Lonchura striata: one gene and its partner. The protein of the gene in region 2 interacts with the protein of the main gene of each other region in a pairwise test. Links are inferred from orthologs where the notes say so. Each region holds a gene or a part of one and is shown on either strand. Other genes may lie near its edges.

Region 1 (7,396 bases), on a different chromosome or scaffold from region 2:
CAGGGGCTTCTCTGAAAGGGTGGGAGGAAGAGACTGACTGCTGTTCCCATGACACATGATGGAGGAATTAGTCAACAGCTACACAGTGACAACCGTTCCAGCTACTGAAAAATAAACAATATATCTGGCAGAAGACAAGCAGGCTGTGGTCAACCCCAATATTTGAAAGAATTCGAAGAACAAGCAGCAAAATGTTCAATCCAGGTTCAACAGTTACTGATGAGTAAAGACTCAGAGCTGCTTCCTGAGTGGTGAGTTAAACATAAACTAAGTTTTTGCAGAAGAAAGACCAAGATGAGTGTTTGCTCTCACACAGCACTCAGCTGACATTCCAGGGACACGTGTGCAGGTGGGATTGCACAGGTAACACCTGCTTCCCTTCCTCTGTGCCATGCAGCTGCCTGGAGGGAGCTGAAAACAGACCTCAGCACTTTCCTCCGTGCAAAACAAAACTTGTAAAAGAAGGAGAAAATTTCTAATTACAAGAGGAATATTTCTAGTTGAAAACTCACATCCCTCCAAACTTGAGTATTGCTGGGTTAGTAAAAAAAGCCTCGTTTCATCTGATAAAAGCTCTAAAAAATCAGAGAATGTTGGTCATGCTGCTTATCCTGCATAACAGGACACAGGGTGCCTGACAAAGTCAGACTTCACCCCTTCCCTTGCAGCCTGCTGACAAACAGTCAGTTTTGCAGCTTCCAGGGTTGGTTTGATTTATTGTGGCCATATGGGGGTGGGGGGGAGGAAGAAGATGGTGACAGACAACACAGCTCATCTCAACCTGCACATCCACTGCAGCACAGGACTTCTCCAGAACCCAACGCCTTAACCATGGCAACAGCCAAATACTGAGGGCTGCTCCGTGCCCTGGCTAATTCCAGTTTATTGTTTCTGTCCCTGCTCAGATCAGCCCTTCTTCCCAGTGTTTGTCTTCTCAGTTATGGCCCTGGGGTGACAGACGTGGCACAGCTCCCCAAGGACAGCCCTGCCTGTCCCTGTCCTCAGCTGGGCTCACCTGCACTGAGGGCTGGAGCAAAACCAGGCGTGGCCTCGTGAAGTGAGAATAATACAGCTTTGGGAAAGGTTAAAATTCTGGGAGTGGGGGAAAAAAACACACCGAATTTCTGCAACTGGCCCTTTCTACTGCTCCTTGGAGTCTGCACAAGCTCCTGACTTAACCTGAGGTTGGCCTAGAAGAGGAATAAAAACCAAAAGCATGAGCAGAGAGCAACAGGCACAAGAATGCCCCACCTGCTCCTGGTTTCAGGGATGGTGCTGAATAATTGACTCCATAACCTACAGGATGATGTTTCCCCAGGTTTTTCACTCCTACCAGAGCAAAGCCCAGGTGGAGAGCACAAATCCTGCATGGAACTCCCCCACCCACAGCCCCCATCGCTGGACCCAGCCCCTGTCCAAGCTCAGCACTTCCAGCAGGAGTGGAAGGGCAAGTGGAAGGCAAATCCCAATGGAATGGCAACCACCTGGTACCTGCAGGGAGCCCACATCCACACCAACACCCCGAGCAATGGGATCACCAGGAAAAAGCCTCTGCTCTGTGTCAGCACCAAGGGGCTGCTGAGAGAGAGCCAGGAGTGTGTCAAACTCACACTCACAGCACCGTGGTGGCACTTCACAGGGCAGGAGAGCTTTCCCCACACAGTCCTCCCTCCCTCAGGCTTTACCCACATTCACCAAACCCACATTATCTGCCCCAAACCCACATTATCTCCCCCAAAGCCAGCAGAAGGGCAGGAACCAGCCCCAGCTCTGCTCCTGGAGGTACCAGCTCCACTTTCCCCCAGCCCCTAGGAGCCAGCAAAGCCAGGCACTGAAGGGCAGCACAGGAGAGGCTCTGGGGGATGCCAGGAGCAGCCCTGGCTCCCACCCTGCAGCAGCTGTGTCTGCACTCAGGAGCTGCCACAGACAGCAATAATGAGATGGCAGCTCTATCCACAACGCTAAATAAATGTCATGCCCTTTTCCTGGTTTAATAGCCGTTGCTGAGGCAACCGGGAGTATCCCTTAGCACCACACCCGGCACAGGATTAAAGGTGGGAAGTGGTCTGGGTGGGCAGCGCTGTCACCCTCCCCAGACCCACCACCCACGGGTCTGCTTCTCCCGGCTCCAAGCAGCGTCTTCCACTCCCCGGGAGCCTGCAAACCGGAGAGCGAGATGCTCGTAACACCAGAAACAAAACACCACACACCTCTCCCCCCACGTCCCTCCGGCATTCCGGGAGGTGACCTGCGGGGACAGAGCGTGGGCAGGACACGACAACATCTGCCGCTGACCCAGCGCTCCGGCACCGGGCGGGACACACGGGATAAACACGGAGCTCCAGGCAGCTCAGCATGAAACAACGCACAAACTAACAGAGTTAAAGATGCCTGAGAAGGGGGAGCACGGCGAGATGCGGAACGCCATCACCCTGCACCGGGCACACACATTTGGGGCTCCCCGTCCGCAGCATCCGCCGCCCCCCCGCCCTGCCAAGGAGCGCCGTGCTGCGGGAGGGCTCGTCCCATCCCCGCTCCCGAGGGAGGGATGCAGCACCGGGAGTCGCCCCTTTTTCCTGCGGAAAATCCCAAGTCGCGGCGTGCTCTGCCCCCAGCCAAAGGCGATTTTCCGAGGATGCCGGGCACTGGCGCTGCAGGGATGCTTCTCCGCCCCCCGGGACCCGCAACCGCGCCAGGGTGGGTGGGCTCTCGGCCGCACTCCGGGCTGGTTGTTGGGGGGCTCTGAACCCCAAAAGCAGCAGCAGAGCCAGCGGATGCCGCGGGCGGGCCCGGAGCTCCCCGCGGGCACCGGGCCGGGGCTGCTCCCGGGGGTCCCGCACCCACCTCCTTCTTGACGGTGCGCAGCAGCCGCTGCCGGGTCTCCGCCTCTGCGGGGAGAAACGAGCAGAAGAGACGCGTTAGTGCGGCCCTGCCCCGCCACCCCCGCTGCCGGTGCCCCGGTCGCGCTCCCCGCCCGCCGTACCCGCCGGGGCCGCCGCCATGGCCGCGCTCGCTCCGCAGCGCCCGCAGACTGCCGGGCACCGGGCCGGGCCCGCCGGGCCGCGCCGCCCCCGCCCCGCCGGGGAGGGGCCGCCGCCGCCGCCAATCCGCGACCGGCACCGGCTCCCCGGTACTCGCCGCTCCGGCACCCCCGGTACCGGCATCCGCGCCACTCCCGGCATCCGCAGTCACCGGCACCGCCGGCTCGCCCCGTACCCCCGGCACCGACGGTGGCCCCGGCAGCGCCCCGAGGGGCGAACGGCTCCGTGCCGGTGCTCTCGCCCGGGTGTCAGCCGGGACCGGTGCCATGGTGCGGTCACACCCGGCTCGCAGCTCCCGGTGTCGCCATCACCCCCCCCCCCCGCCAGGAGCTGAGTCCCGTTATCCCGGCCAGGCTCCCGCACCCCCGGCCCGGCCCCGAGGTGCCCGGGACGGCGGCGGCGGGGCTGGGTGACACGGGGCGGGGAGAGCCCTGGGGGTGTCCCCGCACCTGGGGACGGCTGGGGCAGTGGACAGAGGTTCGGAGCTCGGCGGGTTCCTCGCAGGGGTGAAACAACCGCGTCCTTTCAGGCGTGAGCCATGCGGGCCCGCTCCGGTGAGCTCCGGCACAGCGGGAAGGTGACAACGACCAGAGACCCCCAACGCCTCCTCCCCAAATCACACCGGCACAGCCCCTCGGAGGGCGCCCTGCCTGCAGCTCCGTTGCCATCTCTTCTGTTTTCCTCTTCCCTGGTTTACTGTTCCAGGACATTTCCATAGAAACAGCATCCTGCCTCCTCCGCAGTCCAGTTTCCAATAACTACGAACCGCGGCAGCGCCGGGGCAGCGGCCGCCGCCACGGCCCCGCTGCCACCGGGCTCGGTCCCGGTCCGGACGGCTGGGACACCCCCGCAGCCCCCCGGCCTGCCCCCGGAGCTGGGCTGCATCCTCTGCCTCGGAGCTTTTCCTGCCGTGCCTCAGTGTCCCCAGTGACAGCAGGGACCAGCATCCCAATGGATGGGTCCCTCCACTGCCCAGGCTGGCAGGAGAGCAGGAGGGAGCTCCGGCCTCGGGGCTGACCCCAATCTGGTCCCTTCTGTACCTTCCAGGGCCAGGAGGAAGTCTGGCCCATACCCATATTTCCATGTACTCTGTTTGTTTTTCGCTGTTTGTTTGCTTTTTAAATACCCGTTTAGCACAAATGTAACTCAAGGGAATGAGAGTTCTGGACCAGATGGGTCCAGAATCTCTGGGAGAAAATCGTCCGAAAGAAGCACAGGGACAAGCTCCCCCCAAGCCTTGCTTGTTCCTTTTCCTTGGAAAAGCCAGGTGGGAGACGACTGGCCCCTATTTTCTGGAGCTTGGAGAGCTTAAATGAGAGCACGTTGATCTATACTTAATGTGATTAAGTTACATCTCTGAGTATCATGCTAATTAAATTAAACTTCCCACTGCTGCCTCTGAGGCTTAAACAGGATAGTTGTTTTAAGACCACAATTCACTCCCCTGCACTTTCCTGCATGGATGAGCAGGTGGGATAAAAGCATTCTGCTGATCAAGCCATCATGGTGTTTAGAAACAACTTCTAAAGCAAGGGATATTCAAATTTAAATCTGATTTGAGTTGGATTGAAACTCTGCATTTTCAGTCTGAAGTGATTTGTGCTTTGAATAAGGAAAATAACAGGGAAAAAGCAGAAGTAAGTGGCTGAGGCAGTGCACAGAAGCAGGATATTGGGAAGAATTCCTCCCTGTGAGTGCTGAGGGTGCCCAGAGAGGCTGTGGCTGCCCCTGGATCCCTGGAAATGTCCAAACCAGGTTGGATGGGGCTTGGAGCAACCCAGGACAGTGGAAGGTGTCCCTGCCATGGCAGGGGGTGGCACTGGCTGATCTTTCAGGACCCTTCCAACCCAAACCATTCCATGATGTGCCCAAGACACCTCTCCCCCTGCCTTCCTCCCATCTCCAGCAGCTCTTTCCACCTTGCAGCTTCTAAAAGCACGCGGAGATCTCAAAGCTCTGCCGTGATGGATCTGACAGCGCGGCCCTGCCCCGCTGCCGGGAGCACCGGGAGCATTCACGGCTCATTCCCCAGCGAGCCCGGCGGCTCTGCCCGGGATGGAGCTACCGAACCGACGGCTCTGCTCAGCCCTGGGCATCCGCCGTGCCCGCTCCGTGCCGGAGCGCAGCGAGCTCCCAGCCAGCAGCGTGAGCATCCCCGCGCTGCAAACCCCGCACGGCTCCGGCCGGCAGGGCTGTGCGAATAGCTCCGGCCATGGATGTTCCTGCAGGACCAGCTCTGCCCCCCCGGGCGTGATTTGACAGCCCGGTGTGAGGGAAACAAGAGATTCTTCAACGGAGAAAGGAGCTCAACTTGAAAGGGATGCTAGAGTTTGAACAGCCGCTACTTCACGCTGGGAAATGGGTCCCTGTCCAGTGCTCGAGGGATGCTGGGGGCTGTCCCTGCTTCCCGCAGACCCCACAGATCCCCGAGACCCCTGGCCGTGCCTGAGCCCATCTGCTGAGCCCTCCTGAGCAGGGGCAGGACGTGGGCACAGAGGGGTCTCCCACTTGTCCCAGCAAACCACCCCACGTAACCCACACCTGAAGAAAAGAAGGGCCAGCAGAGAAAGAGCTGTTCTTTATTCTCTAGTCTCTATTATCTGTTCTCTAGTCTCTGTTATCTATCCTCTACTCTCTATTCCCTATTCTCTAGTCTCTATTATCTGTTCTCTAGTCTCTGTTATCTATGCTCTACTGTCTATTCTGTATTCTCTATGATCTATTATTTTTCACAGTTGTTGGGGCACCAGCTGCCTCAGTTCTGTTATTTACTCCTGGAGGTGATCTTTGATCAAGGGGTTAAACCCCGCTCCACAAGCAGCAGGAATTCCTCCCCTTCATCCCAAAACCGGGACAAGGGCAGCTCCACTGGCAGCCCCCACAGCCTCGGCTCTCATCTCCACTCCCCCGCTGAAGGGTTGGGATGCACGGCTCTGGAAAGTGCCAGGAGGGAAACAAATCCCCTATAAACCACAGGAGATTAACTCTCCCTCACCTGTGTGCCGGGGCGAGCCACACCAGGTTTAGGAGCAGGGGGTGATGGAGGGGCTGTGCCAGGACCCCCCAATCTCTGCTCGCTCCTCCCCAGCCCTGAGCCCCCCCAGCCAACCCCTTTTTGGGGAACATCCTTGTGGTTCCACGTAGCCCCACCAGCAGAAAACTGCTGTATTTCACAGGAGAGGTGTCCAGAGAACAATTATTTCATCTTAAAGCCACAATAATTTCAGGTCCCACAGTGGAGAGGGAGAGGGTGGAGTTCAATCCACCCTGTGGAGGGACTGACAGGACCGGACCCACTCTTAGGCTTTTCCAAGCGAAACAATTCCATGATTCTGTGATTCCATTCTATGATAGCCAAAGCAGCCAGGGCCAGACATAAACAAAACAAACCAAAAGAATATATAAATGTGCTTTTAACTGGAGGTTTCTAACTGTTCCCCGTGTGTGTGCCTGAGGGATTAACAGTGTCCAGAGGCTTCCCGTGCCGGGCAGCTGCGTCACGTCGTCACAGCAACCCGCTCACCATGGCCCTGCAGCCGCAGCTCCCTCCTGTAGATTCTTTTAATTAAAGATGGGAAAGGCTGTGAAAGACAGGGCTGGAGGCCCTCAGAGCCCCGGGAGAACCCGGTGAGCCCAGGTCTGTGCAAGCCCTGCACAGACACCTTCCACTGCAATGAATTTTGCTGTGAAACTGCCACAGGGCAGAGTGGTGGCTTTGGGGATGCTGCCATCCCCTCCTGGTCACAGCTCAGCTGTGAAAGTTATTTCACTTTTGTGTGGCTTTTCCCCAGCAATTCACACCCCAGAGAGACCTGTCGAGCCCAGATGGATGAGATGACCTTTAAAGGTCCCTTCCATTCCAAACCACTCCATGATTCCTGAAGCATCAGTGTCACCTCCTTAGCAAAACACACCAGGGAGAGAGAAATAAGGATTTGTCAGGAGGAAGGAGGAAACACTGTCCCATTTTACCACCTCAGCCCCAAAAACTGAGCCAGAATCCCCTCCCCTAGGTGGGACCCACGGGGTGATGTTTATTCACACAAGGTGAGGTTGGTCCCTATGAGATGATGCTGGTCCCTGCAGGGTCAGGTCCCTGTGGGATGATTCTGGTCCCTGTGGGATGATGCTGGTCCCTGCAGGGTCAGGTCCCTGTGGGATGATGCTGGTCCCTGTGGGATGATGCTGGTCCCTGCAGGGTCAGGTCCCTGTGGAATGATGCTGGTCCCTGTGGGATGATGCTGGTCCCCATGAGGTGATGCTGGTCCCTGCAGGGTCAGGCTGGTCCCTGCAGGGTCAGGCCATTCCCCCGCCCTGGGGCTGCTCTCCCTGGCTGCCTTTGATCAGAGCACGGC
Region 2 (7,168 bases):
CTACCTTTTGTTCTTGATGTCTTAATTAGAATAAAAATGCATAGATGATTTAAGGGAAGTTTAGTGAACTCCATCTACTACTCTGCAGACTTTCAGGTGGGAGACCTTACTTACATAGAAAGCTATTAGCAGATGGAGTTTAGGCTATCATTAGGAGCATCCTTATTTGAGAAGGGCAACAACTGAGCCTCCCTCAAAAAGCACACCTTATTCCTACAAATCATAGGCTTTCTTTTGAAAAATACAGGTAAGCTCTGGCTTGTAGTCAACAGTTTTACAAATTTGATTTACATATTTTACCTACACATCTGAAACCAACAGAAGGCTTTAAGTCATAAATCTTTAAAACTAATCAAACACAAGAGTTTTTTCCCTCTGTCCAAGCTTATCCCTGGACAGTTTTTCCATCTGTCCAAGCTTATCCCTGGTCAGCAATTATACCAGGGTTATTTACAATGCTATAGCAATTCTGTTACACATGAAGTAAATAATAAAGTGGGAAGAAAAGCTTATTCCTATACCAATAGAAATTTCCCATTCTTTCTTGTTTTTTCCTTCACTCCTTTAACCAAGCAAGACATCTTGAAGGAAGTTTTTAAAGATATAGCCAGCATCTTAAGTATTCACTATGGAACAGATATATTATCTGCTATAAAATTGCTTAAATGAAAGGAAACTTCTACCTTTAATTGATGGTAATTTATTGCTCTATCCTTGTCCGTATCAAACAATTCAAAGGTATCTTTAATTTCTTGCTTCTGTTCCTCAGTCAGTTCTCTTCTTTTCTTCTTTTTAGTTTTATCTACTGAGAGCTCATTCCTACATAAAGAAAATTAAATGTAGTGTAACAGATTTCTACTGGGAAGATGTCATTGTAAATAACCATTTCCACCAATAATAAACTCACCATAATTTTAGAAATCACTACCTTACCTAGTCAGTATTTTCCCAGCTTGTATTCCCAGTTTAAAATAACATTTGAAATAGACAATTATGTTGTGAAATCTGAATGATACCTCCAGTCTCCCACCCAAAATAAACCAGCACAGGCATTTTTGTTAATAAGCATCAACAACAACAAAAAACAGAGGATAGAAAAATTACCAGATAAAAAGGCTTTTTGAGGTTTCAAACTACATTAGCAGTTGAAATTATACAACTTTTGAAAACAGTTAATTTCTACACTGTAGCTTAAAAAATAAAATTAATTTAGGGACTGATATGCCAGTGGAAGCCAAACTAGGCCAAACAGTCTGGCTACTAAAAGCTAGCATTAGGTGCTACAAATCAACTTTGGCACCTGTAACAATTCTTAGATAAATAGTACTTGTAGGAATTTTTTTTTAATTCTTTAGACCACACACATACACACTGTTTTGAAGATTTTTTTTTGCTCTGTTTTGGTATATATGAAAGAGACAAGCCCTCCAAATCAGCAAATCTTGCTCAAAGACTGCCCCCTTTTCTTTGGCTAGTAGAAATAAGCTTATATTTTCAGAGGAGCATAGTAAAAGGAGGAGAGACAATAACTACAAAATTTAAGGGAAAGAACTGCAGCTGGTATAGAAACTACAGCTGGATCTAAGGGATAATATTTTCCCAGTGCATGTGGTGACATGCTAGAATAGTTCCACTGGGAATGAGTCTCCATCATCAAACATTTTTTTAACCTAATTATAAAATGTGCTTAGCATCCTCAGCCAGCTTTATGTAGAAGCTGCTGTGATCAGGAAGCTGGACTAGATGACTTCCATAAGTCTTTCCTAAATTATTGCATAGTTTATGTTATACTATCAGGAATAGGCTTTTTATGCTCATTTGTCCTTTTGCACCAGAGGCAGAATGAGTGCTGCTGCGTCACCTAGGGTAGACTGCATAAAGATTACTGTTCAATGAACAGAAAACTGCAAGATTAACTTTCCAAGTCTCCTCTAACAAGCTGTTTTATGCTCTTCTTTGTTAACAATTTGCTAATTTTAATCAAAACCTAAGACTAAACACTTATCTATACTTAGTTTTCAACAACCACTGAAGCAAAAACCCCAAATACACACAATAAAAGTGCAAGCTGCAGAAGCTGAGCTTCAAACCACAATACCCTCAACGAGTAAGATGTTCTTAACAGACCACTTGAGACAGTGTGATTTCACACAGGCTTTGGATTACTACAACTCTTGGAAGGCCTAAAATAACTCTGAGCTGGCTAGGTAATTAGGACCAAGAGAGTAAGTAGATCAGATCTAGGGAGCCCACATTTTGTGAGCTACAATGAAGAAATACATTTATAAATCTGAAAGCAGATTAACACCAAACTCTTCTGAAGGAGCAATCCAGGTACCTAAGTGTTCATTTAATGCTTAGCATAAAATAATTTATCAAAAGACAAAGCAGTACTCAAATACAAGTAGTTCAGTACCACTTCTGCAACTACTTTAACCATAGCAAGCATCAAGTTCTTAGATTTGAAAATTAATCGTAGCAGGTGCCATGTAAGCATATTAATTACACTTGAAGATAAAAATTTGCCAGGCACTGGGATTCATAAGCCAGGCTCCTTTACGCAATAGCTACTAAATCAGAATGCAGAAACAAAACAAAGCCAAGCAGTTTAACTTTATGCCTATTCACAGGCCTTTTGAAAGCACATCAGACAACCCAGAAGCGAACTTCCCAAGGCCAGACGCGCCGGACCCTTCTTTCTCCGGCCAGAAAGACGGGCCTGGTCCGGCCCGGCCCGCCGAAGGGATCAGATGGGACCGGCTGAAGGCCGGCGATGACCCAGGCCCCGCCACGGCCTCCCAAAGGGGGCAGCGTGGCCCTGAGGGACCCACACCGCGCTGCGGGCCCCGAGCGGGCAAGCAAGGGAAGCGCCGTGCTCGTACCGACCTGAGGGCCAGGCTCATGGTGCCGCTGCCGCAGCCGGGTCCGGCAAACGCGCCGGGTCCGGCAAACGCGCCCTGCCCTGCCCTGCCCTGCCCCGCCCCGCACTGCCCCGCACGGCCCCGCACGGCCCGGCCGCGTCCCAGCCCGGCCGCGCCGCTCTCCGGCCCTTAGCGACGCCGCTAGGCCACGCCCCTACCGAGTCCCCAACCTGATTGGCCGAGGGGCGATAAAGTCCCGCCTGCGAGCCCTGAGCGCGCTGCCATTGGCTGAGCTCCTGCCACTCAGCGCGGAGAGGGCGGGCCCCGCCGAGAGCGGGCGGTGGCTCCCGGCCGCGCCTCCGGCCGCCGCGCCGCGTCTGCCGCCGAGCGGGCGCCGCGGGAAAGTTTCCCTAAGGAAGGATTTCTCGATGTTTGATCTTGATTTTCAAGCCTAATCAACAAGGAAGGAGATTCAATCCTTGAAACAGATAGACGCTACTAAGCAAGGTTAAAATAATGTCCAGGGGTTAGAAAGACAAATCTTTAGTCCTAATTTCCTTGTTAAGGTCTAGGGCACGACGTGTTTCAATATCAAACAAACAATTCGGAATTTATAGACTCCAAGGACATTTGGCAGAACTCCCAAGATACGGAAGAAATTAATAAAGGCAACTCAGCAACTGTGTTGAATGAGCTCCAGTTCCAGCAGATCACTTACCAAGCTGCCCACCGACTCAAGAGAAGGACTGGGCATGTGACTAATTAGCATGAGAAATAAGAGAATTATTAACAACAGAATATAGAATAATAATTAATAAGAGAACGATGTAACCTGAAGCCAGTGAACATTAATGCATTTGTTTGCTAAAATGTGTATAAATACACAAAATACTAAAGAGTTTTGATAGTTGGTGTGCTTGACTCATGGAATACAATGCAGCACCCAGGCTTCTGCGACTCTAAAACAAATAATCCATGTCTCCCTCAAGTGTGTAATTACTGGCTTATTGCACACTGGGTTATAAATCTGATTTTTGTGGTCAGCACGTCTACTAGTCTTGCTGTAGAACGTCTGGTGTCTGTGTCAGAAGAACTCCCCATGCCCCCAGAGCCTGCTCGCTACTCTTCAGTCCAACTGTTGGAGGTGCAGTGGGCTGTGGAGATGGACACAAAAGTGGCATTTACAGAAGCATTTCTGGCACTTGTACAGATTTTGCCTTGCTAAAAATTTGATTGAAAGTGTGATAAATAGATGTGATTCGTGCTGAATAAGTTGTACTTAAACCAATAATTTGGAAAAATAATTGGAAAAGTGCATGTGATTAGTGTTATGAAGCGGACGGGTTTCTTCAAGAATACAAGTGGAAAGCAGGATGTAGGAGTTGGATTCGGCCTTGGGAATGGACAAAGTCAGGAAGACTCCCAAACCAAAACTGGCATCAAGATGGAATGAGACAACTCCCAGAGCAGGACCAACCTTGGAGATGAATAAAGTTGGGACAATTCCAGACAGGGAGTCTAAAATAGTGGTCTTATCTATGAGATAAATAAGGTTTAATTGGAAAATAGTGCTTACTTACATAACACCAAACTTAATGTGCATGTGCCACCTGCCAGGTTATCCAGAGGACAAGTAAGGAAGACCTTTGGCCTTCCTCCAAGACCACCAAAAAGCCCAGGAGATCCCATAGCAACAACAGGAGGATGCGCTGTGTAGTATTAGTGATGTAGATTTCAAGAATCAAAAATGGGAGGAGATTTACAGGAAATATTGATGAATATGTATTAGCATACAGTATAAAATTTCTGTTTGGATCATTTTGCCCTTTTTATGGATAGCAGGACAAGAAGCCTTCTCCATACCCTGATTGGTTTCACTTATGCTTTATCTGAACCATTGTCAAATTACTCTTTGTAAGCACTTCATTACATTTGATTGTAGTATTATTATTATTTTATACCCCAATTAAAAATTGCTGCTAAATTGCAATCTTGTGATTTATCAAATTGGACATATGAGACCCCATTCATAACAAAAGCAATATGTACTGTGTGGAGATTGGAAGACCTTATGTATAGTTCCAGTTATCATTGACACTAATATTACTGTGTCTTGCAAAACAGTCAGTGAATCACCATTACATATCTGTGTAGAGAAAATGCTCATATCACTGGTGAGAAAACTCAGATTTCTGCAAAGCGCTGCCTCAGTGCTCTGGTGTGTGACAAAGTAATTGTCACTGTGTCTTTCTTCATAAAAAAGGGCTGTTTCATAACTAGCTTTGACAACATAGTACAGTGTTACTAACTGGACCATTATGTTATTCAGATCCTATGTTATGCAGTCTGGCTAGACAGACTGAAAATTCTCAGGCAATGAAAAATTCCTTCAGGCGTTTCAGTCCTGACAGCTTGTCTTGGAGATGTTTTGCACCCGTGTTTCCGGTAATAAACTATTATGTACATGGAGTACACAGTGTTCAATATGTAGAGTTTGGCTTGCTCAATACACATTTTTCCTGAGCAAAGTCAAGAAGAGATGAAACCTATTTTGCTGTCTGTTCATATTATGCCTGGTCCACAGATCAAATAGGCAGAGGCAAGCGGTTTGTAATTGACCTCTGTTTACAGACAGTAGCTTTGCAACTAAAAGCATAAATTACTGGCAGGTTTGACCCTCAGCCTGTACTGTGGTGCAAATATAACCACAGATTAATTTTTTTTTTTTTTATGTTTCATAGAACACATTTACTTGTCCAGAGAGAAAAGGAAGCATTAACCAAATGGTGATTTAAGTGTGGGAAAGTAGCACAAGTAGCCCCCAGCTGCACCAAGAGCCCCAAATTGTTTCACCCCCATTCTCACCTCCTCTGCGTGTTGATCCTGGGTCTCAGCATAGGGTCTTGGATCTTGCCTGAGCTGCGCTGGGGTTATTCCCGTCTTGTACTGTGTGCTGCTCTTGCTGACATATTTACAGACTTTGTGGCCTGGCCATGACCTTGAGTCATGACCTTGCCATTGTCTGCAGTCGCTGGGCTGCTGACAGGTCAAGTTACTCTGCAGGGAGTTCATAATCCCTGCCAGTGTTGTGACTGTGCTTTGCTTCCAGGTTGTCCTCTCTCATGGTGCACCCGTGCCCTGGCTGCTCTTTGTCAAGCAGAGTGAGATACCTGATACTGATAGTCTGGGTGTGCTTCTGGGAACTGAAGATCCACATTCATGTCCCTACTTCTAAATTTATAAGCTAAAAAGTGGCTCCAGAAACCAAAGTGCCACTCTTCATTAAGTTAGCAGCAGTGCTCATACTGCATGTGAAATGGAGATGCACAGAATTCCAAAGAGAAAAGACAGGCTCAAGTAATAATAGGCTCAAGTAATAATAGGCTCAAGTAATAATAGCTAAAAATAAGTACATGGTTGTGGTAGTAGTGACTTGTAAATCCTTGCATTTTCAAAGTTGATTAAACCCGTCCTAAAATGACCACTTATGAATGCACTAGCATGTTTCTCACACAAACATATTCTCAGCTTAATAAGGAAAATAATTAATAATGAAATATACTTAAAGCATAGCATAACCAGAAAAAACATTACTAGCTTTTACTTAATTTTCAAACTCATTTATTGCTTTTTAAAAGTAATTTGTGGGGCTGTCTGCCAGGTCTGTCTTCCCTTTGAGTGAAGCTATATTCTTCTCTAATCCTAATTTTATTAGTATTAGGAAACTATCCTACCACTCTGTTGTCCTAAATTGAATCTGAGTATGCAAAGACTATAAACCTCATCCCAGCTGCTCAAAATCAGATCACATATCAGAATTGTAATTAAATTAATCCTGAATTTTTTAAAGGAGAAGATGGGTAAGATTTCATGCAAGTCAAAACAGTTCTGTTCATGTCACTCTTAGAACAAATAATATGTACAAATATAAAGTCAAATTAAAAACATACCAAGTATCATTGGCAGTTTGATGATTGTGAATGAACTTCTTTGTGCATCAGGGTCAAACTGCTGGGAAATACCTGGCACAATCACAGCAATGTTGACTAAGTTTCTGTGCCTTTTTCCATGTCAGGCCTCTTTTTGCTGCTTGTTTGCTTACTTTCCCAATTTTATTTTCTGTTGAATGCCTCATTGCCTCCCCAGGACCCTGTTGGGCATGTGTGGGAATACTCACAGTTAGCTCTAAAATAATTTTTTAATCAATAAGTTTTAAATTATTGTAAGACAGCTTGTCCAATAAAGTCTGAGTAGTTAGGAGTAACCATGCTGAAGATGAATGTTTTGCCTAGCAGCTCCCTCATGTA

Evidence for each region.
Region 1: the proteins of CETN3 (region 2) and SGSM1 interact in binary tests that used the Homo sapiens proteins (3 or more experiments, as listed by UniProt). The two-hybrid records come from large-scale screens. The link is inferred for Lonchura striata from reciprocal best matches to the Homo sapiens genes CETN3 and SGSM1.

Annotation. Positions count from the first base shown.
Region 1 is NC_134620.1:10,992,547-10,999,942, forward strand, and holds the start of SGSM1 (small G protein signaling modulator 1), read right to left. Parts: upstream 3,054-7,396; 5' UTR 3,003-3,053; coding exon 2,984-3,002; intron 2,889-2,983; coding exon 2,845-2,888; intron 1-2,844. UniProt on the Homo sapiens protein: Interacts with numerous Rab family members, functioning as Rab effector for some, and as GTPase activator for others. Promotes GTP hydrolysis by RAB34 and RAB36.
Region 2 is NC_134642.1:67,035,896-67,043,063, forward strand, and holds the start of CETN3 (centrin-3), read right to left. Parts: upstream 3,016-7,168; 5' UTR 2,904-3,015; coding exon 2,887-2,903; intron 820-2,886; coding exon 684-819; intron 1-683. UniProt on the Homo sapiens protein: Plays a fundamental role in microtubule-organizing center structure and function. As a component of the TREX-2 complex, involved in the export of mRNAs to the cytoplasm through the nuclear pores.